Linked DNA regions of Arabidopsis thaliana. The protein of the gene in region 2 interacts with the protein of the main gene of each other region in a pairwise test. Each region holds a gene or a part of one and is shown on either strand. Other genes may lie near its edges.

Region 1 (7,980 bases), on a different chromosome or scaffold from region 2:
GCGATTGTTGTCGGTATAGCAACTAGAGCACGTGAGAAAGCTTCAATGGCATGAGATTTTTTGCCAGCAGTTTTCCTTGCAAGCTCATCTACTTCCTTTGCCATCACCATCTCTGGCCATCCACCTCCAAGCAAAACTCTAGTATCATTCACTGTTTGAGAGAGTACACATAAGGCATCATGGAGTGATCTTTCAGCCTCATCTAGGACATGGTGACTGCAAGAAAAAAGAACCCATACAAAAATTGATTAGTGAATTAGAAACAGAATAAAGTTTAGACGAAGTCTTTCAAGTAATGGGAGTGAAAATGGATACCTGGCCCCTCTTAGGACAATTGAACAAGCCTGGCCCATTTCACAACCAGAGAAATGAATCAACTTGTCTTCACCAATCATGATTTCTTCTATAAGCTTGCAATGCCCAAGCTTAACAGACTCTGGGTTGTCAAAGGTCGAAGCAATTTCACCACCAGTAACCAAACCAAGACGCTCTATTCCCTCAAAGTCAGCATGCTCAATAGCAAGTATACCAGCATCAGCAAAGAGTTCCTCAGGGAAATTGTAGATCAACTGCCTGTTAACAAAGCAGTTGATTCCGTGGCCTATGATCTTCTTCACCTTGTCTTTCATTTTTTCCTTCTCAGCCCCTTCAATCTCAGCAACCTTGGTCATGGAATCCACACGGACACGTGCACCGTAAATCTTCACTTTATCGGTATCCATAGCAGTATTAGCTACTAAGATATTTGCATTCTCTATGCGCTTAGGCTGCCCAATTCCTATTTTCTTGTCAAGAATAAACCTACAGGCATAGATTTTAAGTTGAGGTGACATGAGACCATATTACTCGATAGAAGAAGAAACACAACACAACAAGATGACATGATGACTATCAACATTCCAAAATAACACTATAAATGAAATTAAGGTGCGTAAGCTATGAAGAAGAAAAGAAACACGACAGAGTTACCATGAACAGATGAATACTAAAGAAAGATCAATAGCTCAGAAAACTGAATTTGAACTGACGCCAAAGGCACAAAGTGTTGTCTTACCCTTCATCCAAAAACGAATCCTTCAGAGACCCTCCAGGTTTTTTGATGATCTGAATAGCTTCCAAGTTTGTGCTTCCCTGTTGAACGATAAAAGCAGAATGTCAGAAAAAAATCATATAACAATCCAAAACGAAACGATGCAACTATGGGAAAGACTAATGGTGAAATGATAATAGCCTAATTTCATGACATTTCGTCAAAGGAAGATCTTCTTTCATGAGATAACACATAAATCAAGAGAAAAAGAAGGAAGGAACACATGACATTGCTGAATCAGTTTCAAAAGGAGGAAGAAATGGAACCTTTAGCCTGAAAACAGCATCCACGGCCATTTCTGCAAAATGTTCCTTGTCCTGTGAGAGAATTTTGGAACATAAAGTAGTCATCGCAATCTTCAACAAGTCTGACCTAAACTTCTCTGCATTGACAAAAATACAATGCTGTAAAATAACAGTGTGATTTCCGTTCTGTATTCAACTGAAAGGAAATCACCGCTTGAACCCAACAGTCGAAGTAATCACACAAACAAGAAAATGCTATACTTAAATATGTCAGCATAACAAGGTTTAACCATCTCTATAATGATTACCTGCATTGTCCTTGTTATCAATGACTCTTTTCAGTAAAGCATTACGAGCACATTCCGAAGCCATTCTGTAACCTAAGAAACCAGAAAACGAAAAAATTAGAAATCATTGCCATAGTGAGAGAAGCTGATACAAAGTTGACATCTTAACACTTAAAGCTCCAAAAGTGTACCTGCTATGATGGTCATAGGGTGAATCTTAGAAGCCACAAGCTTTTCTGCTTCCCTCAGAAGCTCGCCGGCCAAGACAACAACAGAGGTAGTTCCATCACCAACCTCATCATCTTGAACTTTCGAGATGTCTGAAGAACAAACCAGATACAACGAACTGTGAGAGAAAACCCAACTAAGAAAAAACGAATGTGAAAACTTCATGCCAGAATGTCGCAGGGAAATTACATACCAACAAGAACTTTAGCTGCAGGGTTGTCTATGTGAAGTGACTTGAGAATAGTAGCACCATCGTTAGTAACAGTGACCGCATGACCTCTACCAGTAGATTGCAAGATTTTATCCTAAACAATAATAAAAAGGATTCAACAATAATCAATAGAACCAAATTGAAAGTTTGTAGCTTTCTAAATATTCAGAGATCGGAAATTACCATGCCCTTTGGCCCTAAAGTAGACTTAACCAGATCACTGATAGCCATTGCACCAACAAATGATGCCTAAAAGAGCAACAACAAAAGAAAAGAAAATCAGATTTAAACAGTAGAAGAGTGAATCTGAAAAACCCTAAATCCTAATCGATTCAAAAGACTCACCATCCTCGCACGTTCTCCCTTCTCTTCACTAGCATCATCTTTGAAGATCTTATCGATCTAAATACGAAATAGCTAAGTTCAGTTAACGGAGAGCACTGGGGAAAAGCAAAAGGATTGAAAGAGACGACGGAGGAACATTACCGGCATCGGGAAGAGCGGAAAAAGAAGAAGGAGGCTTCTTCAGTATCGGAGATATCCAAGTTAGTCGAATCTGAGACTAGCGAGAAACAATAGATGGGATCGTTCACGAAGAACGAACAAGCCGAGAGGATCTCGAAATATTGAGTGTGCTTTTGAAGAAGAGTAGAAAATGAGAGGAGAGAGCCAAAACCCAGATCTTTCGGAACCCTAAATGAAACTCGTAAAGACCAAACTACCCTCGTATTTCCCAGATTTCTTATGCGCCCTTCAGTAAAAACTAAAAAGTTTAGATTAACCCTTAACCAAAAAGTTATAAGTTACATTAAGAAGTAAATTTTATAGTTTCGACAATTTTGCATTTTGTTTGATTATATAGAGGAAAAAAAAAAATGTTCCATATACAAATTTGAATTTGGTGATGATTTAGCGGTCGAATACAAAAACAGAAATAAATTAATTCGTGATTTGTATGCGAATATTGTTACTAAAAAAAACTATAAATGTAAAGAGGCTTATAAAATAGAAAGAGAAACATTATAAATGTAAGCAGTCAAGGTCCATTTTAGAAGTCATTTTAAGACGACTAAGCCCAACAGTACTTTAAGAGCCCAATGAATCAAGGTCCAGCAAACTCAATTAGTTTAACGTCTCAGCCACTTATAAATTATACACGTTTGGAGTTCCGGATAACCGAAATGAGAAAGCATGTCCCACATAGAAGGCCAACGACACCGTATCATATTCGAGCACGTTTCTAATTACCCTCTTGTTGTCTTTTACTGTCGTAGCACCAAAAGTCAAACAATAAAAATCAATATCTATCGCCAGGTGTCAAATTACAGGAGCTTCTGAGAAGGATAAATCTCGGAGGTTCCCGGTCTGAACGACGTAGAGACGAAGCGAAACAAAAGTACTCTAAGGGAGAGAAGTATCAAAATTCTCATCGGAAAAAGACAGATCTACAAATTTTGAGAGACAAGCCATGACTAAGGTGAAAGATGAGCCACGCGCTTCCGTTGAAGGTGGATGTGGTGTTGCCGACGGTGACGGCGGCGCGGCTGAGATCGGCGGTACCGGATCTGTTGAGAAATCGATTAACGAAGTTAGGTATGAGCTGTGTTTACTGTTGATTTCACATGTTTTTATCTGTTTCTCTCTTTGCTTTGAGTTTAGTACTTAAAATTGTATCTTGTTTCTGATAAGGAAGATCAGCATTTCGATCTGGTTACTTTAGTTTCTATTTAGGGAAAGTCATATTTCTCAATGGAACCAATTTGTTTTTTGGCTGGAACAATTGGATTCTTAACAAACTTGTGTTTTTCAAAGTCCTTTAATGCATACATAAGTTTTCATGTGAATTTGATTAATAGAACTTCACCGTTAACATGTGAAATTGGAGAGACTGGATTCATATGTGGAGAGTTTTCTTAATGTTGCATCAATAAGTCCATCTTTATAGTGTCGGTCACAAGTTTAATAGATCTTCTGCTATTGAAGGTCCACGGAGATTCAAACCGCTGAGCCAACGGTTCCTCCAAATCAACTTACTATTTTCTTTGGTGGAAGTGTTACTGTGTTTGATGGACTTCCATCAGAAAAGGTTGGTCCATTAGAGCTTTGTTGTTGTCAGAAAAACTTCAGAATTTCTGTTCTCACTGTGATCTATGCCTATAGGTTCAAGAAATCCTTCGTATTGCTGCTAAAGCAATGGAGACAAAGAATTCTACAAGCATCAGTCCTGTCTCATCGCCAGCACTGAACAGAGCTCCTTCTTTCTCAAGCACATCTAATGTGGCATCACCAGCTGCACAGCCATTTCCTATTCAGCCAATCTCGTTTTGCAGATCCACGGCTGGTAAGTATTCGATTCAACTGGTTATAGTAATCTTCAAACCTTGAAAATGGATACTCTCATTAGTTTCTTACAATTATGTTTGCCGTAACAGATCTACCTATTGCAAGGAGGCATTCGCTTCAACGATTCCTCGAGAAAAGACGGGACAGGTATGCAGCCTTTAAAATTACACTTCATCCTTCTCCATTTCAATGGAAATTCAAATCTGATCTATTTTATTCAGTTTTTGATTGATTACTAATACAGAGCTTGTTAATGTACCTGTGAGAGACTTGTAAAGACAGATTGATCATAATGTTTAACCTTGATATTGCATCTAACAATAACATTCACTTTTTTTTATCTGCAGATTGGTCAACAAAAACCCTTACCCTACTTCAGACTTCAAAAAGACAGATGTCCCAACAGGCAATGTCTCTATCAAGGAGGAATTTCCAACTGCTTAGCAGAAGATCAAACCTCCACATTAAGCTTATAAGCAAACTAAGTAAAACGTTTTGTCAATATAGTAATTAATATGATAATCTATCATGTACGCTGCTGTGTGTAATGTGTTGTATGATAGTGTCTGTATAGGTTTGCTAGACAAACCGAAGATTGTTTCCATGTCTGGGAGTGGTCAGATATGTTTGCCATTTTACAATTCTACTGAAGAAACTATTGTAGTTAGTAACACTGTCCTAGAGTCTATCTAACTAATGACTCTTTGATGTTATGTTATTGAACTTGTCATCTCTTCAAGATACAATTGTGTGTAAAGTAAAGAAGTCTGTGTTGTTATTATAAGCTTTCATACAAAAGACATTGAATCTATATGTAAAATGGGATTTATAATTGTGAATGATGAACAACAATTCGGAGATGTTTCAAGGAAAGACAATGGGAGTGTGCCATAACTGATTGAAATTTAAACGTACATATATTCACCTCCGCGGACAGCATTCTCTGCGCCCTTCCTCTCTTCTTCGGCCTCTTTCTCTCTCTCTTTCCAGTTTTCGTATTTCTGATCGTCTGTTGGTAATTCATGGCGGCATATAGGGCAAGAGTTATGCTCGTCCTGCCATAAAACAATATGAGCATAAGCTTTATGTTCTTACTTACTAGTAAGCTTGAAAGAATGGGATTTTTTTTTTTATACCAGCCAAGGCTTTAGGCAAGGAGGGTGAAATGTGTGCTTGCATGGCAATTCCTGCATCTTGTCGCCAATAACTAGATTCTCCTTGCAGATGCAACATTCTGCCTCTGCTCCAAACTTTTTAAGCAATTCCTCGGTGAAAATAATGACTGGGAGTTTCTCTACAACTTCTTTACTTGCCGGTGGAGCTCTTGGTGGTCCACCATCATCTAGTATCTGCATAGAACACATCATATATCACTTTTCAATCATGAAGCTAAGAAAAAGACGCTACCAATACAATATTAGAGGTTGAGGTTAAACACTCTTGATACAGATGAGTGAGACAACCAAGTGGAGAAACTCAATATGCAAAAAACAACATATGAGTAGAATGCGGATGATTAAGAATTGCTTTCATCTCTATCTTTAGGTGAAGAAACTTGTGATATCAGCTATGTGTGATAGTACATAATCTAAAACTAGTAAGGAAGAAAAGAGAAGGCATTACATCTGGAATGATCATGTCAAGACCATTGATAAGTTCTTGCATCAAGTTAGCAGTTTCCCCAATAGTGTTTTCAGTAGGACCATTAGAGGATTCACCACCAACGATAGAAGCGAAAGCAGACATGAGATTCTGCTGTACTAGCCACTGAGGCTGTGGCGGCTCACGATCAACCGTAAGATGTCCCTCAAAAAGATAACCTGCAAAAAATTCACAAGAGAAATAAAAATCATCTCCAGATAAATTTCACTTAAAACCATCAAAAGCCAAACTAAATGTTTCACAAACCTTGTGAGCTCTCTGTTGGCTGATTATCTACTTCGCTTAACTGCTCCTTAGCTTGAGCAACGCAAGATTTCAAATGTTTCTTCTCAGAAGCATCAGAGACAAGTCGCTCAGCCTCTTCGAAAAGACTCAGTCCAGCAACCCAAAATCCAGTAGCTGTATATCTTGTCTTAAGAACCGTAGCGACACGAGATACAACTATATAGAACTGCAATGGCAATCAAATCAATACTATGTCACAGAGGGTAACTAAACAAAAACAGATCGGATTAAATGAAATTTTTGACATGAACATGAACTTTCTCCACAATTGAAATAGAAAAACAATAAAAGAAAGATATTTGATTCCTGATTCAATCCTCAAAAGTTAAACCCATCATCAGACATAAGCAATGAGTAAACGTCAAGGCAGGCATAAACCCTAACAATTCCGAATAATTTTGAATCTATTGATCCGAAAATCTAAGAATAAAAACCAACCTGTTTGCGGAGAGAAGGAGAGGAAGAAGAGTAGTGATCACGGAGAAGATTATGAATAGAACAAACGGATGCTTCGAATCTCAGCTTTTTGTTCAGCTGTTTCTGAAGATCATCAAGCTCAAGCTTCAAGCTTTCCTCGGAAGGAGACGGTGAAGACGATGCATCCATTCAGAAATTTATTTCTTAGAGTTAAGGAGAATACTCAGGGGTTTCGAATGATTTTGGGGATTTTGTAAGAATGATGCAAAAGAAGAACCAATCTCTTGTCTTCTGGGATTTTTGTAGGAGACGAGTTTTCTTGATCAGGAGGAAAGGACGAAGTCGGTCGGTTAATATAGTTCAGTTCGGTTTGGTTCGGTTCAAGACCAAAAGAACAATTGTTAATTACCAATTGTTCGGTTTGGTTTGAGACCAATTTTTTGTTGGTAAATACTAAATCGTATGCGGCTATATTAGACCAAACCGTATACATTATTTGTTTTTTGTAGTATGATTGTAACTGTAGATAAACATAGTGTATATTGGACTTTCTGAGCCTTCCACGCTTTAATTTGAGATGTTGAACGCAATGCCTGTGGACGTTAATATCATTAGTCTATTAATTTTGAACTAAGAATAATCTTAACACAAAAAAGAAGTCCATGGATTTACTAAATCAACCTTCAAGGTGACCACATGAACCTGACAGAGTAAAAGGTTTTGATCCTATCCCATTTTAAAAGTCAAGTCATAATCATATTCCAAAACAAAATAAAAAAAACAAGACAAGTATTTCTTCAACTCATAAACTCATACAGAAGCAGTAGAATAGCTCCAAACTCCATACCAAGGTCACTTCACCTTCTAATTTCTCAAGTCTTCCTGCGACTAACACGAGCAACAAACCCTGTTTTGATCGGAGCCACAGATCGTTGAGATCCACACTGCAAAAACCATGTAGCCCACTCGTTAATCACATTAGCAAATTCAAACACACAAAATACTTTATTACTTTGTTGCGCAGAAAGTAAAACTGTAAAACAGAAACAAAGGAATGCATATCAAGATCAGGACTAATTAGATTAACTTATACCTTTTCACATCTCAGAAAGAAGAGACGGTTCTCCTTGGAGAGAATGGTGTCTGGGCTCTTGCAACCAAGGCAAATGACGTAGTCAGCTGAGAAATAATAAAACAAGAGGTTAACAACTC
Region 2 (7,619 bases):
TGATTTGCAATCCGTACTTCTTCATCTTCGATTTCTATTCCAGGAGCAACAAACTTCTGCAAAATCGATTGAAAATTAGCGCAATTCCTGCGAAGTCCCAGATTCTGGAAAAACACTAATCAAACCCAAGCATGAAATAGGTAGATTTCGCTGTAGAATCGATTAGGGTTACAATTCACAAAAGTTGATTGGTGTGATTTTCCCAGGATTAAGGAATTTAGTAATCCATGGAAGAAAGTGAAAGAGGAAGGGAGGAGATAAAAAGATCCAATTAACTATAGATGGTATAGATGATTACGGCCCAATTGTTACGGCCCAATGTTTTCATATTTTGATGGGCCGAGATAATGAGGTTCTAGAGTACAAGTTAAAATGCATCACCAAAACGATCGAGGTCATATGCTCTGGATCACAGAGATCATTCCCAACCATTTGACAACTACTTCTCCCACTTACCAAATGTCTAGAGGTTAGTGAATCGTGAAGTCGTAATTTCCAACCAACCACATATTAAATAGACAAGTCTAAAACTATATCACAACTTGGATTCTGCCACTCTTTGGTTCTGTATCTTTCTAACTCATCATCATATTCAGATATGCTTCAATCTTTTTTGTACATACAAGGTAGAGAAGTGAGGATTGTACAGGATTATGTATGTTGATTATCAAGTAATATATAGAACATCTACATTATAATACCTCCAAAGTAAGCTACTTGTCATCATCCTTCTCCTTGTCCACTTTCTTCCCAATCCAATTGGCTACAATAGGAGTCAAAGCCACTGTAGGCGGAAACCTTATCGGAGATGCAGCTTTATGCGCTGCGTAAGCCAAAGCAAAGGCTCCTACTTTCTCTCCTGTCTCATTCGTCGAAATCCCAACCTTAAACACAAAACATCAAAATCAGCTTTACTCAACCCAAGATCAAGAAAACATAAACTTAGTATGATCAAGAAGTGAAAGTAGTAACCTTTAGAAGAAGAGCTTGAACATCAACACCGGAAGTCACAAGGACATAGCAGAGTGAGAAGGAAATGAGAGAAAGAGTAATAGATGTAGCGAGATAAGCACCACCATACTTTGCAAGTAACTCTTTAGCCTCATCTGTTTTTGATTTCTTCTTCTTATTGTCTCCATCACTTCCTTCATCATCCTTAGAGCTTAATATCTAATCACAAGTCCATCCAAAACACCATTTTACTACACAAAAACTTCCATAGATTCTACAACTTCCAAAAATGCTCCAAACTAACCAATCACATATGCTCACTTGTTGATAAAAAAAAACACCATTTTAGCATAGTTAAAAGCTTACATAACTTCTACAACTACCACGAAAACGATCATATCTACTCACATAATCATCTAAACACCATTTTAGTACCCTTAGAAGCTTCCATAGCTTCAACAACTACAAAATTGCTCACATAATCATACAAAACACCATTTTAGTTACACTTAAAGCTTCAATAGCTTCTACTAATACCAAAATTGCTCTGAATTAGCCTATCATTCAGCTCAGAAACAATCATATGTCCTCACATGTTCATCCAAAAACACTATTTTACTTACACTTAAAGCTTCCATAGCGATAGAATCATCAATTTTAGATTACGAATTAAAACGAGAAATTGCGCAATCGAATTGATTTTACCTTCCATAGACCAACTTCAAGGCCATATTTCTTGGTAACTTCTTCGGCGGAAGGAGGAGGAGGAGAAGAAGACGGCGGCGAAATGTTCTTATCAATGTCCTCCGCCTTCTCACGGACGGCTCTGCATCTGAATTTCTTCGAGGAAGCTGAAACTGAAGAGTGGAAGAATCGGATTTGAAGGTTTCTGGTGTTCAACAAGGAAGACGAAGGAGGAATTTGCAGAAGCATCATCGCCATTGTTTTTTTCAGCCACCAAAAAAAACAGAAAGCAAATCTTTTCACCTTATTATTTTTATTTATTGTATGACACACAATTATTTTTTATTTTTTTCTGAAGGTATACCATTTGTTGTATTAGAGGTTCCAGAGTAATCTTTTACATATATAAAACTTTAATATAGTATAAAAAATCCATAAGTAAGAAAAATATTTTTAGACTATTTTATAAATATAAAAAACTACAAACAACATTTGTTTGATTCTCAGGCGTTTATATTTTGAACTGAAACTTTTGTATATCTAAACATAGTCTAAAATAATTTATTTTACTTATGGATTTTGTATAATTTATTACAATTGTATATAACTAAGAATATCACTTTGCAATCTCTAATACAACAAACAGCAAAACTTAAGGAAATGGTGGTATTATTCACATTTACTATATGTGAAATTTGTTGTCTCTATTTTCACGGAACTATCATCTCTTTCCCAAAGCTTTCACCCAGATTATAAAGGTTTACTATCCGAAAATATTCTCTTTTCCATAAAAATTTTGGTTTGTACACAAGTTTGAATAATTGTTAAGACTAGCTCAACATGCCATATTGCCATAGACCAAATACTATATTTATTTATGTATAAATAATATGTATGTCGTAACTAGCTTTAGTTCCTAGCTATTAATACAGTCCAAAAGAAAGAAAATAAGATAGCCAAGAAAACAGTAGTGGCCAGAACATTCTTCATCAATCTCTGGCTATCATCTTTCTTGATTTTGAACGGGTTCGGGAATCTCCAGCTGGAGTCGGTTCCGGCAACGTTCTTGATCCTGAACAAAGCGTAACAATTCATTGTTTCCGTTGATTCTTTTTTTATACCACATTTTGACCTCTTACTCGATGACTCGCTTGATATTGTTTCTTGATGAGTTGGATTAGTTGGTCGAAACGCTTGGCTAGCTTTCAACGCTTCTTCGTCGAGCTTTATTATATCATCGTTCAGAATCTCGGCGTAACAATCATCATCGGTATCGGCCTGATCCTGCATCGCAATAGAAAGAGATCAACTTCAGTTACAAACTCTAAACTCTACCAGTACAAGAAAACTAAGGATGTTCAGCCCAAGTGTTGGTTTAGTCTATTGAGTTATAATATTAGTAGCCAAAATAAAAACCAAACATTGGATATATTGGTTTGTTACGTTTTAAGTTTAGAATCTGCTTTAGTAAAATAACAACTTTAGTGAAATCTAATGTACTATGAATCCGTTATAGTATGGTACTATGGTGTTGGTTTGGTTTTAGTTTCTTAATCGGTTCTGTTTTCGGAACTATATTGAATTTAATGTGGTTTCGATTAAGATTGGAGCGGATAATTTTACCAGTATTAAACATCGTTAAAAGACACATTCCTCAAAAGCAAGCTGACCTCAACAACATTTGATGATTCTGCGATGTCACCATTTGGTATCTGATGCTCAGATTCATAGTAGGATTTGTCCTCCTTCTCCAAACCACCTCTTTGGCCAACGTAGCCATCGTCTTGCACAACACCATCCTCCATTTTTTGGGTCGAACTAGCCCGAAAATCAGCATTTTTTCTTAACCGGCACACCACTAATGCATCCTGTGAAATCCAAATTTCAATATATCTCAAAACATTAAAACTCAACCTATTCAAAATGAAAGTTTTAAGAACCTGTGGGGCTCCATGGATGCAGTATTCATGCATAATCCACTCCGTTCTCTCGCCACGAGGAGCCCGACCGATATGAAATACAAGCGTTCTCTTGGTTCCAACAACTTGGTTCCCGGATTTAACACTCCGCTCTTTACCGGTCGCTTTCCAATATCCTAGCTGTGTGGCTCGCCGGCTTTGTGACCCGTGCGGGTACTTCCTCCCCCTCGCGCAGAAGTAAAACCACTCGTTCTCCGATTTCAGTTTCGATTCCTCTGTTTTATAGGCACAAACATTCAAATTAGTGAACCAAAGTAAACATAAAGAGAAAGAAAACCGAAGTAAAACCTGGCAAGTCCCACGGCTCGAACTTGTAAATCTCGACCTCAGCAATCACAGCAACAGAGTTCTCATCACCATCGATTTTACGACGAAGATAGTACGAGATAAGTTCAACATCAGTAGGAGAGAATCTAAAACCAGGGAACAAAGCCGACACCGCGATCGACATCTCAGCTTCTTTAGACATTGTTTGATCTTTTTGGCTCAGGAACTCGAAAATACTTTGCTTTAGATGAAGAAACATGCCTTATAAATGGCAAGTGTGCAGCTACTTTGCTTCGGGTAAAGGTTTTGTGTTTTTTGATATTTGGCGGCTTCAGAGGGAAAAAGGATGACGTGGACAATGACTGTAAGAATTGGGCGAATAACAGAAGAGTGTAATGAGATAGTAAAGGACAAAAATGATAACGTGGTTATGTATTATTGGACAGAACTCAAACCCAGCTCTGAAGTTCTCTCATTGATGCTTAATAAATCGTCTCTTCATTTTTAAACACGTGTTTCGATATCTTCCTCGGTGTTTGTACCCCGCATGCCAATAAGTTTTTGTTTTTGTTTTTTTGGGTGTAATAACTTATCAAAATGAATTTTTGTTTTTGACGGCAATCAAAATGAATTTAAATCACTTTGTAATTATTTTATTATCTTGCGCCAAGATATTTTCTTTTGTGTAATACAAGTTTTATATGAATCTATTTTATTATTTTTTTGTCGATGAATCTATTTTATTAAATACATTATATTTTTTTATTGCAATTTCTAATCTATTACTTTATTAGCTTACGTCATCATTAACGTTTTAGTTATTTTTAAAATATATAATAAAATCAATAAAATCATATCCTAACTAAACTATATATCCAAATTTGTATCCGTGTAACTTTCTCTAAACTAGTTTTATGTCCTCTAAGCTCATATTGGAACTTATTTGCTTCGAAAGATGGGTGATTAATCTAAACGTGATGGATATAAATTTTAGTGTTCACGTAAGATGATTATGGTTACGGTTATTACGGGTACGGTTTATTAACCATCAGTTACAGTTATAAAATTTTTTAACCTTAACTTTAACCACTATCTATGATTAAAATGATTACGGTTACAACAATTATGATTATATATGGTTATTGTTATTTGATGATTACAATATAGTTAATATTGAAGGCGAAATCTTAAGAATTACCCAAAATATTGTATTGCTTTTAATAAGATGAAAAAGTATATTGTACACCAAATTTTCTTCATATCAAGCAATGTAGCATTCCAACATATTTGTTTGAGAAAAAATCTTATTATTTTCTAGCTTAGATTTTTTCATATCTATTATTTACCTTTTTGACAATTTTTATCCAAACATTCGATATTTGTCTTTGCATATACACGATTACAACTATATTTTGTCTTTGCATATACACAATTACAACGATTATCCAACGATTTTGATACAGTTACTAATAATTAACGGTTAGTATTTTTTTTAATAGTAACTAATTTGTTTTTCAGTTATCGGTTACAGTTTTTAACCAGATTTAGTAACAGTCTGGTTACGGTTCGAAATGCGGTTACAAAATTTTGATCATACCTATACTCATAGTTGCAATCCAGGCAATGAATATGAGATGTGTTGTGTGTTTGCCTGTGGATATTGCCGTTTGGTTAACATAAAAACTGATTTGTGTTTTTTCTTCACCCAAACCATCAAGTCTATAAATCCCTAACCCACTAATCTGCCGGAAAAGAACCCCTACTAATCTAACAAACTGAATTGGGCCCTAAGCCCACACACGTTCGCAACAAACGGAAACAATAATTTTTAATCTATACTAAAAAAATTATTAAAAATATTTCCATAACTACCAAAAAATCTTCTTTGGCCGCCAAATTCCTTCACTGACTAATTTCCGACCGCAACTTATTTCTTTAACCAATTTCGTTTTCAGATTAGGTAATACGTCCAAAAGTGACATTTTAACGACTATATATATTCAAAACTTATCTATCATAAACAAACAAAAAAACACCAAAAAAAAATCAGTATTACGTCATGCTTCTCTAACCAAATATCTTGTATATATTTCTCAACAATTTTCTTTATTACAAATTCAAAGAACGAAAAAAAAAAGATGACAAAGAAATGTATGTATTATTGGATCATTTAAGTATTTTTGTACCTTTCTATAGTTATTTACCTTAACAAAATAAAACTCCACAAAAGCACAAACATAGAGAACCCAAAGATCATACAAATTGTGTCTTGAGCTTTTTCTCTCCTCTCTTTATTCTCTCTCCATTGTATCTTCATTCGCACGTATTCTTCATACCTTTCTTTAGCTCTTCTCTCTTCATCATCTTTACACGATCTCTTTCCATCTAACAACCCTTGTAAAATTACCAAACTATCCCTACCTTTCATACATTTTCCTTCTATGTCCTCTACTTGTAGCCTCACGTCCCTCACGTGTATTTCTCCTCCCACTTCCTCATCCACCTCTTTCCACGCTTCCGCTGACCCGCATGACACAACCGCCGCCACTTCCGCCGCCTCCGCCGTCACTACCGTTGAAAACCGTATTTCTAAATCCCCCGTTAGCCAGTTCCGCCGCGCCGACACCGCCTTTCGACTAGATATATTCGCCGCTCGTTTCTTGATCGGATCGATTAGTATCCAATTAAGTTTCATGCTCTCTTCCATATCTTTCACCCACGCTTCGTAGTCCCCACCCGGATATCGAATCCGGGTTTGGACCGACTCTTTCGGGTCGAGTATATCGACCCGAAACGGTGATGACAAGAACCATCCTGATTTACCTTTCTCTGTTTCCATCTCTTGTACCTTCGAGTATATAATCTCTCCTCTGTAGTATAAATCAACGGCTGAGATTAATCCCGTCGGTGGATCATGTTTTTCAGACTGCCACGTGTGTTCAGTGAACGGGTACGAGTCAGCAAAGAAAGAACGGTAACCGGAAGGGAAAGAGGAGATAGCTTGGACAACACGTGGATCATTGATCGAAGGCCACGTGTCGATGGAGAGTTCTTGCCAGAGTTTCTCTTCCGTGCATAGAGTTTGGAGGTAAGAAGAGGTTGTTGCGGTGGAGGCTAGCGTCGGACCATCGAGTCGGGTCAAGATTTGGGTTTGGATTATGTCAGAATGAAGAGTTGAGATTGAATCACCGTTGATGACATCGACGGTTGCCATTTTCTTTAGGGTAAAAACTATAAGAAGAGATGATTAAGAAATTAGAGAGAAGTATATATAATGAATGAATTAAATGACTAATGTAGAAAATAAAGAAAAGGATGAAGAAGGCGATGGTTGATCAGTCAACCATGGCTCTTTGAGACTATTCTACTTCAAGTTGAATGATTCTTCCTAATTTTCTAAAGTTTCTATACATAGTAGATACACACGCGTACACACACGCTCCATTTTCTTCTTTTTTTTATCACGTCTCTTTATGAAGTCTTTCATTTTTATCATAAGATTAAAAAGGTTCTTTTTGTCGATAAAGAAAAATAAAATATAGTATTTTTTTTCTTGTGAATGGATAAAATATCAGAGAACAAAGATCCGACGAGAAATGTTACATCAGTGTTTTATATAAAGTTTTAAAATAAATATATAATATTTAGATATCCATTATATTGTATATAGAAGAAATTTTCTATATTTTTAGTTATGTCCTTGATGAAAATGTCATATTTAACTGCGATTTAATACTG
Region 3 (8,018 bases), on a different chromosome or scaffold from region 2:
ATGTCCCTCTCTAAGCTGACGTGTAATTTCTCCATTTTCTCTGTCTTTATGGCTTGTGGCTCTGTGTGATCCGTTATTAATTTAATACCAACCTCAGCCTCTTATACATACTCTTGTCTCAGACCTCAAATAAAGAATAAACACATAACACAAATCTAATCTCATACTCCATCTTCTTTTCTGTCTTATGTCTTCAAAGATTGGTATGTCTCAAGTTAGAGATACTCCGGTTAAATTGTTTGGCTGGACAATTACACCGGTTTCTCATGATCCATACTCTTCTTCGTCCCATGTTCTTCCTGATTCTTCCTCGTCTTCCTCGTCTTCTTCTCTATCACTTCGACCACACATGGTATGTTTCATGGTCTTACCTTTATTTGTTAAGAAATGCTAAAGATTTAATATTTTCTCTAGTCCTTGTATCAGTTTGAAACTAGTTCATGATGTTAATCCTAATCCAAGTTCCTTCAATTTTTTTCAGATGAATAACCAATCTGTTACTGACAATACAAGTCTTAAGCTGTCATCTAATCTTAACAACGAGTCAAAAGAAACATCTGAGAACAGTGATGACCAACACAGCGAGATCACAACAATTACATCGGAAGAAGAGAAAACAACTGAACTGAAGAAACCAGACAAGATTCTTCCATGTCCGAGATGCAACAGCGCAGACACCAAATTCTGTTACTACAACAACTACAACGTTAACCAGCCACGTCACTTCTGTAGAAAATGCCAGAGGTATTGGACCGCTGGTGGATCCATGAGGATCGTCCCGGTTGGCTCAGGCCGTCGCAAGAACAAGGGATGGGTTTCTTCAGACCAGTACCTGCACATCACTTCCGAGGATACTGACAATTACAATAGCTCCTCAACAAAGATTCTAAGCTTCGAGTCTTCGGACTCTTTGGTAACTGAGAGGCCTAAGCATCAATCAAACGAAGTGAAGATAAACGCTGAACCTGTTTCACAAGAACCCAACAACTTCCAAGGGTTACTTCCTCCCCAAGCATCCCCTGTTTCGCCTCCTTGGCCTTACCAATACCCTCCAAACCCTAGTTTCTACCACATGCCCGTCTACTGGGGCTGCGCGATACCGGTTTGGTCTACCCTCGACACTTCTACATGTCTTGGGAAAAGGACAAGAGACGAAACTTCTCATGAAACTGTTAAAGAGAGTAAAAATGCTTTTGAGAGAACAAGCTTGCTTTTGGAATCTCAGAGCATCAAAAATGAAACAAGTATGGCTACAAATAACCATGTGTGGTATCCAGTACCGATGACCCGCGAGAAGACACAAGAATTCAGCTTTTTCAGTAATGGAGCTGAAACAAAGAGCAGCAACAACAGATTCGTCCCTGAAACGTATCTTAACCTGCAAGCAAACCCTGCAGCCATGGCAAGATCTATGAACTTCAGAGAGAGCATATAACGTTAAAGGAGAAAAGAAACTTTGTAGATACCTTTTTTTGTGTGATGAATTAACTTTTAATATCTATCTTATTTATATACCACAATCCCCATTTTGTAGATTATCCAAACAGATGGAAATGCTGAAGTGTAATGTCTTTTTTGGTAAATGTGGTTCGAAAATATTGTTTACTCCATTATTTGTATTTTGTAGTACTAGTGTATAAATTAATTGGAAAAAAAACATATGTGTGAATTTTCATGTAAAGGAGAAAAAGTAGAGAATCTTAACTTGGAGTCCTTGGTACAGAATCCATCTGATTGGTACAAACTAAAAGCTAAAGGAGAAACATAAAAGTCTCTTTCTTTGAAAATAAAATAAGTCTCTTCATTTGCGTATAAAGGGAAACAATAAGAAGAAAACACTTTAAGCACTTTTTTCCCCCTCTCTTTAAGCACTTTACTTTGGGAGAATTACTAAAATGAGTGGAAAAATGTTAATTAGTTTTAGAATAGTTTTTATCTTTTCGAAAATCACTTAATATTGACTTCACTCGGATGTTTGTTCCCAAAAAGAGAGACTCGAGAACATCTCCGAAATAGATTGGGCCTATTGAAGCAATTTCAGACCCAATGGGTAAATTAAAAATCTTCTCTACAACAACCTTTCAAAATCCGAAAAACCCATACATTTATCCACGTTATATATTATTTTAAAAACTCATATTCAAAACCAAAACTAATTTTTTTCCTTTTTTTTTAACCCAACCAAAACTATACAAAAGAACAATTCAATTTAAATTTTTCTTTTATATCTACAACATGGAAAGAATTACAAGAAAGAAGGGCATGTGTGGGTCCGCGTGACATGAGAGAGATACATAGGTAAGAAGCTTGAAGAGTTGGAAAAACGGTTTGAAGAGAAGAAACAAATGCAATGTGTGTGTGAGATTTGGTGAGCATGTTTCATGTTTGGCCTTTCTGTTGCACAATCTCTGCCTCAATTTTGGCAGTTCCTCTTCTCTTAATTACGCATCTTCGTCTCTTTCTCCAACTCCTAGAAACTCCACTCTTTTTAATTTCCCTTCTCTCTCTCTCTCTCTCGTTGTTATTCTCAACACGTCTTTAGCAATATTTCACGTCACTTCATCATAAAAGAATCAACTTTTTAAAACCAATCTCTCTTTGTTAAATATTTCTGAACGAGTACTACTAAAAACAATGACTTATCAAATGTTACACTAGACAACCAAGTGCCAACAACAACAATCTACAGTTTAGTAATTAACGTAAACGCAAGGACAAAGGCTAGGATCTGGTTTGTTTGTTTTCTAGCTACTAAAGCTAAATGCTATTTTTTTTGTAACCAAATTTAACCACTGTCGTTATCTGATTAACACCAATTTGTTCAACATTCACGCCGTCCCCAAGCCAAGAAAATCGAAAAAATGTGGTTGCTGCTTAGCCTTTTCGAACACCTCCTCATCTACCGCGTCCATTCCGATCCAATGCATTGCATCATTTGGCTCCGGTTTCTCTTGGTTACTAGGGTCAATGTGCGGAATATTGCATAACGCGTCTGACGTGGCACCAACGTTATCGCCGACCATCATTTGGTTGCCAAACATACTCACAACCATCGGAGGTTCATTGTTCTCATAACCTGAACGTTGTAGATATAACAAAAACCAAAAAAGAGTTCAAAATATGCAAAAGACAATTGAAAAAACTATTGAAAGAGGAGGAAGAGCTATAGGCTACCTTGAAAGCAATGGAAAGGCAACACAAGCTGGTTATGGTCACTCGTGATAGGGGCATTATTAACCAGGTGATGAGTCAAATTAAACTCGGGGAAAGGCTGAGCGAAGTAATGATTAGTGGAGATAAAAGAGTGGTAATTAGGGTTAGGGTTAGGATGATGATTATTGGTGAGGTGAGGTTTAAGTGGATTATTACTCATAAGCTTTCTCCTACGGTAAGCAGAAGAGTGTTCTCTATACTTACGAGCCATGACAACATGCCAATGGTTCTTCACTGAATTATCAGTTCTACCAGGGAAAAGCCTCGCAATCATTGCCCATTTGTTACCATAAAGCCTATGTGCTTGCATCAGCCTCTCCTCTTCTTCTTCTGTGAAAGCTCTTCGGTTTATCCTCGGGTCCAATTGGTTAAACCATCGTAGTCTACAGCTCTTCCCTTTAAAAACAATCAAGATTAAGTTAATAAAACTCAAAAAAAATTACGTTAGGACTTAGATTGGACATAGAAGGCTAAAGACCAAGAAAACTAATAAAAACAAAAATTGATTTTATCACCGGATCTTAAGAACTTGACAGATCCAGATGAATCAAACAAACTGGTTTTGATGAAATTTTGAAGATCTATAAGGTTTTGATTTAACTTGCTGTCAAAAGAAATAGAAAATAAATAAGGTTTTGATTTAACTTACCAGATCTTCCTTGAAGCTTTTCAGCTATGAGGTTCCAGTTTTGTGGGCCGTAAATGGAGACAAGCTCTTTGAGTTTAACATCTTCAGCTGGTCTCCAATGTCCTCTCCCCAAGACCGATGGTTTTGAAGACGACGAGGACCAAGACTGACCACTATCTGTTGTCTCCTTCTTACCACTCTCGCTGTTACTGAAATTAGGGTTATTATTATTACTCTCTTCTTCGTGAACCGCTACATCTCCAAGAGGACTCTTCAAGATTTCAAACTCATGACTTGTGTTGCAGTGACGATGATGATGCTGATGAATATTAATGTCGTTGAAAGGGAAGTCCCAAGAAGAAGAAGCTCTTCTTGCGACGATCTCATCCATCCACACTTGTTTTTCCGTTATAAACATGGAGTTAGTGTTGGGAGAAAGGAAGAAGAAGAGAAGTGTTATTGAGAATTAAGAGAGATGTCACGTCAGCTTATAGACATATACCATCGGAGGAGAAAGACTTATGTGAGTGCATTTGCATATTATATATACACGTACGTAAATGTGTGTCATAAATATTATTTTTTAAAAATAATAGAATATCTTTTGTATATAATGGTGTGTTTGTTACGTATGGCTTTAGGTATGTGCGTGTATGTACATGTCGCGACCGTGTTTTCTGACGACTGTTAAAAAGGGTTATGGACCGTCGTCACGGACTAATTCAAACGACAGAGTTCTTTGCATTTATACATTATTATATATATTACATATACACTACTGTAATAAGTAAGTACAAATGTGTATTATCGATATTCGATTTTGCTGTGGACTGTTATACATTTGTTCAGGTGTACCTAGTTTCATAGAAGTTAAAGAGTTTTTCTGATAAATCATTTATTAAATTTAAAAGTAACTAAGATTTGAAGACCAAGTTTTTTTCCATGTCCATAGATTGATAGTAATTGAAAAGTATGCAATAGTTTTATAGTCGTATTAGGGTTCATAATCAAACGATAACATTAATTACGCTGCTTCTCTATGGTTCCTTATACAAATTTCCTACTTTTATGAATAATTAATGTTTATCTTAGTTTGATGTATAAGATAGTATTTCCTCTTTTATTTAATGAAAACCAATGGATTATGACAAAATAAATTAATGTTGGGAGTGTCGACCTAAAAAACAATGAATGTAGAGAATATCTTGGACGAGTCCGAAATGAATCTTACCGTTATTAGGTGAAATTTATCCTCTATTAATCAATGCATGTTTTATAGGTGCAAGGTGAAAATAATAAAAGCTAATGAGATGAAAGAAAAAAAGCTGAAGCAGAACTAACTACCAAAAAAGGATGAAGGCAAAAAGAGAGTTTACCATTGGGGAATGAGTCGGGTCTCTTCTTAGCACAACCAATTCTCAGACAGCTTTTTCTTTCATTTCATTTTGGGTTCCTTAAAATTTACCTCTTTCTCTCTTAATCTCCACTTGTCTTTCATTCCTTTACTTTTTACTACCATTTTTGTTTCTGTGAAACCCTCTCTTATCTTAAAAAATTAACCACAATCTTTTTTCTTCATTCAATTTTTTTCTTAATTAAACATCGCTTCAATATACTCATTTTCTCCTTGTCATGTTGTATCAAATAATCTTGAAATTTTGACTGTTTTATTCTTTGTAGCAGTCTCATGGTTTTTAATAACGAGATATTACAATGCCAATTCAAAAAAACTCTCAACCCTAAATATCCCACATACATGAGGAATGTGGCCGTGTGGAAGTGTGTATAAGTAATGAGAATGAACAGTAAAAATGTAAAGAAATAACTTTTAAGACCTTTTCGTATTTGACCAGAAATCCCAATTGGCAGACGTAACCATTAAATATGGGATAAATACAGATACAAAAGGGGTCTCAGAACTGTACGATCCTCTGCACAGAGATTTAACCGAACGCACTACAAACTCTCTTTCTCTTCGTCATATTTTCTTTTTAATTGGTCAATCACTTTGAAATACACATTAATATTATATATGAAATATGAAATAAAAGGTTGGGTGAAGAAGTATATATGAACTATATAATTTTATGAAACAGAAAGTTATGCAGCTTTATTTAATTTTATATTTTGCAGAACAAACATTTATAAAAATTGTAATCAGTTTTTTTTTACCGTTTAAAATGAAATGATGAAATAAAATATGGTGAAACACACTATTAATTATGTTTGTTTGTAAGTAGAGCCACTAGCTAAAGTGGGACTTCGATTTGGTTGTTCTTTTGTTTTGGGCTATGAATCTATCTTGTTACTTTGTTTATATCCAGTAGACTAGTACTAGATTTTCGATTCTTTCGTCTAAAATACTAAGTTATTAAAAACATATGTTCTATTTACACATGGAATTATTTATAAACATGTTAAATATTTAAACATACCTTGAAAAGTAAGAAGAGAGTCTAACTTGGAAGATTAAAGGAGTTTGATGTTACTGCTTGATCGAGTGTAGTAGCTTGTTTTAGGGAGTGACTAACAGAATAAGCAACTAAATTACTCTGGAAACAGATGTATGTAAAGCTCATATAGTGAGGGGACAAAAATTATCTGAGGTATAAAATAGATTGCGATCTCATGGTCAATCCGTTTCGGTGGATATATTAGCTACGGTCCATGCGTGACTCAGTCCAAAATTGATTACAAGCTTGAACATACCTTTTTCAACATAGCATTAATATATACTTTTGTCAGTTTGTCACAAAAATACATCAAATGTGTAATAAGGAATCACTAAAACGTTGGAATTAATCCAAAGCTCAATTTTACTCGTCTGACATAATCTAATTTTTATTTTCTCGACCATTCTTTGACCCCATAGCCCATTTAAATTTCACCTAATTCACTTTTCTTGGAATTCTTTATGTCCGTCTACAAATTTTATCAACCTTAGTTATTCATGTGTTACAATGTCCCCTTGTACGATAATGTTTAATTTTGTTACACGTTTGGTCAGGTTTGTGTTTTACTCGAAAGAAAAGTTCGCTTTCAAATAGACTCTTTTCTGACGTGGCATCCATCTATATGTAATATGTTATGTGATTAGTGATCTTAGACTAAGAATAAAAAAGCAAAGAAATAAAATTACTTACATATGGGATCTTTTTTTATTGATTAACAAGAGTTTTTTTTCTTAGATATTTTAGATGTCCTCAATAATTAGTAGTCAATGCAAGTAAACATTGAGTTCTTTGAAAATTAAAATCCGTTTTAAATCAAGAATAAGGATTGGTAATGATAATGAGAGGTGGAGATGATGAACACGTGCACATTTAGAGTAACATAGGATCCAATTCAATTCAAAGGAGAAGTCTTTTCTCTTCAACTGTGATGCGTCCCCATGGTCCGATTTTGGCGTGTGATGTCGCACAACCATCACGTGTATTCTCCTTATCGTACTACACCCACGCACGATCACAATAAATCTATCGAACAATCACGAACACTTAGGGAATATACTTGCTTAGAAAAGAGAAAACTATAGAACAAAACAAAATCGAACTAGTTTGGATTTTGCCTATGTTGAGTTCGTAAAGTATTTAGACTAATATAAAACTAGAAGGTTACGTGTACAATGTTATAAATATTAGGATTACATCACCAAAATATATATGTCATTCAATGGATTTTTAAGACGCTAGCTATAAATAAATTAGCTATAGATATGCATTTCGTTTCACCCATGAGTTTAATTATAAATATTAACTTGTCAATTAATCAAATAATTTCAAATGCTAATCAATCACGTTATTTTGTGAACAACAAAGATCAATTACTTTATGCAAATCAAATAAAAAATTAATCGTCCTATCAACGAGATTTTTCAACTATTAAGATAACTAATGTTTTTATAAAATAACTGAAAATAAGAAGTATTAATTTTGTTCTACACATGCTTTTGCGAAAATTCAAAGTGTTTAACCAATAATCAGTTCAGATTCAATTAGGTCTGATTTGGTTTGAGTGTAAATATATTTTTGTAGTAATTAATGCAACAAGGTGCCGATTTGGTGATTAAAAAGAGGAGAAACTAGTGAGGAAACAGAAGTGAACAAGAAAGTGAAAGAAAGTGAGAGTAATGAAAGGAAGTGGAGAGACAGAGAGGATAAATGGTGGGAACAGATCA
Region 4 (6,822 bases), on a different chromosome or scaffold from region 2:
TAAAGCCACCACTGGGTATTGTTGACTCATCAGTAGTGTTAGTACTACCTTTAGATTTTGGATCTATCGAAATCATGGGCATGAGTTCATCCCAAAAATAAACAAGTGGCTTACTGGAGTCTTCTGACAAACGGTACTCTCTAATATGATTCGAAGCCATGGAGGACACATACAAGTAGAAAGTCGGTGGCTTATGGGTGGTGACAGCATCAAGTAGCTGCTTCTGACACTTGTAGTAATGAGGAAGAACACATTTAGCTTCTCGTCCGGGATCAACACTTAAGTCCTTAAAGCTTTTGCTCAAGTTTCCAATGCATCCAATGATGATTCCATCGCCAGCTATTCCCCATGCAGATTCTAGAGGTATAGCAAGAAAAGTGAAGAGAAGATCAACAAAGTCATCACCACATTCAACAAACAGAATGTTTCCTTCCTTCTTTACAACATTTAGTGTAATCGTTTGGTCAGGTGTTGATTCCTCTCTATCTTCACAGAGGCCAGGACTCGGCAATTTCTGAATCCTCTTTGTACTATATGAACTTTTCTTTTTCAGAAATGTATCGGTCAATGGATTATCCGATGTAGACAAACACTCCAGCAAAGTCGGTACCTACAAAAATTAAGAGAAAATAGCATAAGAGCATGAAGTTTAAAAGTCTAGCTGAAGAAAAATAATACCTCTTCGAGATTAACGTCATGAATCTTCTCATCCAACTTTTCACAATCTACGTAGCCAAGATCTTTAAGAACATTAAGTGTCAACCTAACAGAGGTAATTTCCACTTTCAAATCATCAGTGATCATGAATGAAGTATGATCACTCCTAACAAATACTCCACCTTCAACACCATTTCCTGCACTGGCTAGGCCTCCTCTTCCATCAAGCTGAGTCACTTCATTCATCAAAACACCACAGCTACATCTCGAGGTATTAAAATTGCTGTAACTTTCAGTACATTGCTCACGTTCCACAAACTTAGGACACACGAAATACTTGGTAGCCTCGGAATCATCTACCCTCAGCTTAAGGTTTCGACATTTCTCATGATTCAAACTGCCCGGATACAAAAGCATTTGCTTACAAGCTTCAGTCAAGAAATGCTCAATGCCCATACTCACAACACTTGCATATATATTGCTGAAACAGCCTATTGCTATTTTCTGTGACTTCTTATACATCTCCAGCAATCTAACAATCGTTCCCATTGGCAAAGTAAAAAAACTAAAGAGTAAATCGACAAAATCTTTACCCGCCTCAACAAATACAACTTTGTTTTTCTCTTCATCTATGAGTAGTTTCAACTTAATCACCGGATTCTTCAAAGTAGCTGACATGTCTTGATACAAAATCTGCACTGATACAATGAAAAAGGTCACTTTTTACACAGCCATGTTAGAGACGATAGCTACATTGATTTTGTATAAATAGGTAACAATTTTATAAAAGCTAAACAGAGCGGAGTCTGTTCATATATCATACATGCTAAAATACGTAACGAGGCTAACAATGAACAAAAACCTCAGAAGAACATAGTCTAACGTGGCATCAAAGAAATGGTTTCCTAGTGCTTAGAAACAGAAGAAACTACAAACACATCAATTCTTGGAAAAACTACTTTCATAAATATTCAACAATATGATCTATATATGCTGCGTAAGATTTTACCTTGTTAGAGTAAACCAAGCAATTGTGTTCTTTTCATAGGACTTGAGGTTTTATATAAAGCTTAAGTGGAGGAAGTGGAACAGTTTAGAGAAGACATGGTCAAAGGCCTTAATTAAAGGTTTCGGGAATGGAAGAGGCAACAAATAACGAAGTAAATCCAATTCGCCGGGTTCATGTACCACAAGTTCCGAAAAGAACACAATTGCTTGGTTTATGTTGTTTAATTATAACGGTTCAAGTTCTCATAATAACTAAACGGAATATTAAAGAAAGTGGATGTTCCATTGGATTCAATCAATTTGATATGTCAACATAATCACTTTTTTCTTTCACAATTCCGAGAACATAATAAGAGCTTTTGGACACTCAAGTCATCATTGAATACCACTAGACTTGGTCTGAAACCATAAAAGCAAATAAAGAACATATACCAAATCCACACTACAAAGCAGATGATATAAGATGAAGTTTGAGAGGAGTTATTGAGAAATGTAACCATGGATAGTGATCTTGAGAAATATCACACTTTCTTGTTAAAAGTTTCAGACTTTACCCATCAGACTGGTTCACTTCTACTCTAGAAAACTTGTCAGAATGAAAAACTAAAGAAAACTGAAACATACATTCCGCAAAAGCTTTCATTTTGCTCGGTCACAACCGCGCTTATTAGCTCACAATCAAAGAAAGTATAACATACTATTGTAACGGCGACAACTTCTATAGCCATGTTCTTTCAGAAGAACATAAACACTCAAAAGTAGTATTCATATAAGAATAGCTTAGAAGAACAATACACATCCCAAACCTCTCTCTCTCTCTCTCTCAATCTCTACACACCAAAGTTAGAGCAATGCAGAGATTTCTAAGCAACACAATGAGATGTATCTCACAGTCACAGGACAAGAATCAGTTTCTCCAATTAGTAGAAATGCTAATAGACACAACATCTTTAAAATTACCAATTCCTATAAAAGTTCCTCATGATCCATACATTCTCACTACACTTTTAGCAAAACAAGATTTTGATTTGAGAACAGAGTAAAATTTGCAATTGTGAACAAAATGAGAAATTTTACTTTAGGCTGAATCAGTCTTTGCTTTCCCTTTACTGAAGAAATCATCGATACGACGAGTCCCAATTGGCGGCGCCGGAATCTTCTTGTCGGAAACCGATTTGGTATGTTTGACAGGCTGAGCCGGCAACGGAAGCGAGTCTAAGAGGAAATCACTAGTAGGTTGGTGTCTTTTCACGGCGATTCTTAAATGATCGAGATTAACAGTCTTACGCTTCTTCTCCGCCGTAACAACAGCAGATTTCTCGGCGAGGAAGTGGAGGAAGAGTTCGGTGGAGTAAGTGATGACGTGAAGAGCTTCTGAGTTGATTTTGTTGATGTCTTTGTCCAGTTTCATTATCTTCTTTACTCTTCCGATTGGAAACTCTGGTCGGATTGATCCTTCTTCTTCCTCCATGGATTTTGATTTTGATTCTGTTGAGAAAATCTGATTAAGGTAATGAATTGTATATGTTCGACATTTTTAGGGTTTTGAGATTTACGCGCTCTGTCACGGCGGGAAAATGAAAATGAGCAATGAGAAAACATGTAAACCGGATTAACCAAAACAGCCCGAACGAAGATTTTGCTAATTCGGGTTTTCAGCTTAAACCGATTGGTGAGATTGAGAAGAACGTTTGGTAACCCGGTATGGTTCGTAGATTTTTATGTTGTAGAGATTGTTTCTACATGAGTCACTGTCTAGCTCAAACTAGTACTAGTAGTCTATTTTAAAGTTTTATATTGAAAATTTTAACCGATTCTTTCTTTTACTTGGATCACATTGTACAAGGAATTCTAGAAAGCTACAAGTTGGTACAAATCTCCTAGCTACCTGAATTGAACCCCATTGATCCTTCACGAACGCAACGGATTTAAGGAGTGGCATATCGAACTAGAAATGCCATCAAATAACAAATGAGCTTTAGAGATAGTTCCAAGTGTGGATAATGATTTGAGATTATACTTCTATATGGCTGTAGGAAGCCTTTTTTTGGCTCCGAGATGTTTCTAATCTTGAGACTTGAGAGACCATCTACTACAATTGTAGCTGTTTAATTTGTTATAACTAATCCGTTTCCTCTTTACTATTCGCAGCTTTTCACAAAATTCACACACAACACTCCTTCCTCTACAACGTTTTGAGGTTGTAGACATGAACCAATTTCATACCATTGGAACAAGAGGCTGTTGAAACATCTCATGGTCACATATTGAGTACTAGACATGAACCAAACACATCCAACAAAGTCCATTTACAACAATATACAAGAAGAAGCTAACTTTTCGTATCATTGGATCAAACCCATCATCTTAATTCTTAATAGTTAATACTAAAGATTTGAGCCACCAATAATGACAAATTCGAATATTTTGACTATGAACAGTAACAAAACAACCCAACACAAGAAAAAATATCACAGAAGCTATCAAATCTGTTTCTCATCTATGTGTATATATATATAATCAACTTACAAGACAGAGAGTGAGAGAGTTCAAGAGAGAAGAATCGTTTACAAAGTATACAAATTTCTTGAGAATCATCAATAAGGACGATTCGGTGGCTGAACCGTAATCTGAGCCGGTAAAGGTCTACCAGTTCCAGAACCACCACAATTGCTACAAGCCGCACGACCTGAACCAGAACACCTACGACATCCAACGTCACCATCGGACCATCGAGAACAGAAACACGTGACTCGTCCAGTACCGTTACAAGTCGGACAACGAGGGAATTGACCAGCCATAGGCTTTTGGTCCATGACTGATTTGATAAAGACCGCACCGGCTAAAACGCTGATTCCTGTAGCTAACTGGGTTATGACGATCGGACTCATTGTTGGTTTCAATAAGAGAGAGAGGTTTGGTTTTGGTTGCCAATTTTGGGGATAACGCAAAAGTAGAATCGTGAAGAAATTGAAGAAGAGAGACGTCTCGAGGAAAAAATAAAAGTTTTTTTTTTTTTTGTGTTCAGACAAAAGTGTGGTCTTGTTTTAATTTGATACGGTTCGGTTTATTTTTGAAGTAAATACAATTTTGGGAGATAAGGGAATGGTTGAGAAAGTAAACACGTGGGCTAGTGAGGGTTAAGTTGTTGTGTGAGGAGATGAATGAAACAGCCGTGTTTTTTTTGGATACTCCAGTTTTTGGATTTGGGTTTTTATTGGGCTGTGTGTGTAAAATATCTTCTACAAGTGTACAACCTTCAGATTTTTCTTTTTTTTCTTTTTTTTTTTCGTCAGATTTTTCTTTTTTTTAGATTATCATTGATTTATCTGACTGCTTGCTTTTTTTTTTTTGTCATCAAAGAAGCAAGCAACTAATTTTTCTACTAAAAAAAATCAAAATTTTATTTATAGTAATTGAGGCCACAAGCTTGTGTTTGACCCGCTTGTACTTATGGACGGCTCTGTATTTTACCTAATAGATTTGAATGGTAACCATTTTAATAACAATACAATTTTGACAGTTACTAATCACAAAAACTTTATCAAAAGCGTTACAAAAAAATTTACTCTCAGTTTTTTTGTACAGCTCATTTTAACAGTTTTACACTATTCCGATAAAGCTAACAGCTAAATAACTTGTATAGTTTTTGGTTACCAATCAGACCCAATATATATGTTCTGTGTGATACAGTTCTTTTGTTGACTTTTATAACATAATAAGTTTCTCGTTAGAAGTTTTTCACAAATTCACTGTAAATTAATTAATTGATTAATCGAAAGTATAAACTATGTTACGAATTAGTCAATAGGGAAATGATTAAGTTTGCAGTGATAACCGAACTTACATGCACTAAAATTAGAGGAATGTAATTCTTACTTTGTTTGGTTAGGGTTTATTGTTCTATTGTTACTATTATATTGTTGTACTATCTTGCAAGGGTTGCAATTGTAACCTTCCATTTCATTTTTTGGGTTAATTTTGTTTCTTTCACGTTTGTACTATAACTAGGTTGCTTGAATTATCAGGCGATGCACTCTTCTCCACAAACAAATCACGCGTCGAACGCAGCCATAAACATGTCCAATGGTGGACGAAGAAGCAATTCTCACAACCGCACGTGCTTACTTCCAATATCGGGCTTTTCAAATTCGGCGTGGGCCGAGTGGCCCATATATGAAGATTCTGAGCTATTGTTGCATCATTTTGAAGTTTTTATTATTGTATACTAGATGAGTACCCGCACTACGTGCGGGTTTATGTATTACTATTTACAAATTGTTTTATATAATGTCTGTTCATATAAAGTAAAGTTAAATGCATCGGTTTTGAAACATAAATATGATTTGTAATTGTTTTCAAAAAGTCCAACTATATTAGTTCATCTGAAAACGAAAATGCTTGAGTTATTTTTTATTGTTGTTCTAGATTCTCAGTTTTTTTTTTTAATTTATATATCCTTGTTCTTTTGGTTATATATTTAGTTTGTGAAACGGTGAAATTTTAGAAAATTTCTTTCTTACATTTAAAATATAACATGTTTTTATTAACCATGTCTCTGCATAACCAATCTAATCATATTCAACTTGATGTTCTTGGAAAGTTTAGTTAAGTTCTTGTCATAATCTTCTATCTTACGTATTAGTTTTAAGGATAACTCCTCAAACATCTTTCAAATTACTTGTTTTCTTAGCATAAATCTTGAAAAGCTTAGATATATTTAATCTGCATATTCATTTAGTTTCTTTCATAATAATCGTGTAATTTTTAGGCAAGGAATATGTGTAACATGTTTGGATCTCAAAATTAAAAAGGATATATTGAATTAAAAAATGTAGAAAGAGTGATGGTTCAAGTTCTGATTAATTATATCCTCCTATTTTAGTTATTATGTTGAATTAATTACTATTTATGTATTATTTATTTTATGAAGTTTAGGTGGGAAGCTCTCATGTGCTGATGTGTCAAGTTGTAGGAGAGAGTTGGCCAACTTTCATATATATGATTCGGTTGAGTCTTTAACATCTTGAATAATTGCATTTGACATCTGTAGCTTAATTTAGTTTGTTTTATTTGCTTTGCTTTTTGTTCATGACTTCATGCTTATTAGCTATGATTTGTTTACTTTGTGAATTAGTTCATTAGGATTTGTTTCTT

The links.
Region 1: the proteins of NTL8 (region 2) and JAZ12 interact in a two-hybrid assay, tested with the Arabidopsis thaliana proteins (one large-scale study listed by BioGRID).
Region 3: the proteins of NTL8 (region 2) and MYB117 interact in a two-hybrid assay, tested with the Arabidopsis thaliana proteins (one large-scale study listed by BioGRID).
Region 4: the proteins of NTL8 (region 2) and NF-YC13 interact in a two-hybrid assay, tested with the Arabidopsis thaliana proteins (one large-scale study listed by BioGRID).

What each region holds. Positions count from the first base shown.
Region 1 is NC_003076.8:7,087,354-7,095,333, forward strand, and holds JAZ12 (jasmonate-zim-domain protein 12), read left to right. Parts: upstream 1-3,350; 5' UTR 3,351-3,529; coding exon 3,530-3,654; intron 3,655-4,044; coding exon 4,045-4,147; intron 4,148-4,221; coding exon 4,222-4,402; intron 4,403-4,493; coding exon 4,494-4,551; intron 4,552-4,561; exon of another isoform or gene 4,562-4,751; coding exon 4,752-4,848; 3' UTR 4,849-5,186; downstream 5,187-7,980. Other genes in the region: AT5G20890 (TCP-1/cpn60 chaperonin family protein), read right to left, coding at 1-216, 316-801, 1,055-1,131, 1,357-1,472, 1,644-1,715, 1,814-1,942, 2,044-2,155, 2,245-2,310 and 2 more; AIP2 (RING/U-box superfamily protein), read right to left, coding at 5,310-5,459, 5,541-5,753, 6,028-6,224, 6,313-6,517, 6,790-6,957; EIF2 BETA (eukaryotic translation initiation factor 2 beta subunit), read right to left, coding at 7,641-7,712, 7,862-7,947. UniProt on the Arabidopsis thaliana protein: Repressor of jasmonate responses.
Region 2 is NC_003071.7:11,677,873-11,685,491, forward strand, and holds NTL8 (NTM1-like 8), read right to left. Parts: upstream 4,100-7,619; 5' UTR 4,084-4,099; coding exon 3,903-4,083; intron 3,830-3,902; coding exon 3,576-3,829; intron 3,504-3,575; coding exon 3,306-3,503; intron 2,920-3,305; coding exon 2,545-2,919; 3' UTR 2,404-2,544; downstream 1-2,403. Other genes in the region: AT2G27285 (nuclear speckle splicing regulatory-like protein (DUF2040)), read right to left, coding at 1-25; AT2G27290 (FAM210B-like protein, putative (DUF1279)), read right to left, coding at 714-884, 973-1,170, 1,657-1,893; AT2G27310 (F-box family protein), read right to left, coding at 6,082-7,095. UniProt on the Arabidopsis thaliana protein: Transcriptional activator activated by proteolytic cleavage through regulated intramembrane proteolysis (RIP), probably via metalloprotease activity.
Region 3 is NC_003070.9:9,267,274-9,275,291, reverse strand, and holds MYB117 (myb domain protein 117), read right to left. Parts: upstream 4,341-8,018; 5' UTR 4,260-4,340; coding exon 3,863-4,259; intron 3,610-3,862; coding exon 3,175-3,609; coding exon of another isoform or gene 3,164-3,174; intron 3,077-3,163; coding exon 2,829-3,076; 3' UTR 2,579-2,828; downstream 1-2,578. Other genes in the region: AT1G26790 (Dof-type zinc finger DNA-binding family protein), read left to right, coding at 188-352, 482-1,435. UniProt on the Arabidopsis thaliana protein: Probable transcription factor that involved in boundary specification, meristem initiation and maintenance, and organ patterning.
Region 4 is NC_003076.8:17,353,431-17,360,252, forward strand, and holds NF-YC13 (nuclear factor Y, subunit C13), read right to left. Parts: upstream 3,277-6,822; 5' UTR 3,137-3,276; coding exon 2,744-3,136; 3' UTR 2,415-2,743; downstream 1-2,414. Other genes in the region: AT5G43240 (hypothetical protein (DUF674)), read right to left, coding at 1-610, 679-1,335; AT5G43260 (chaperone protein dnaJ-like protein), read right to left, coding at 4,263-4,556.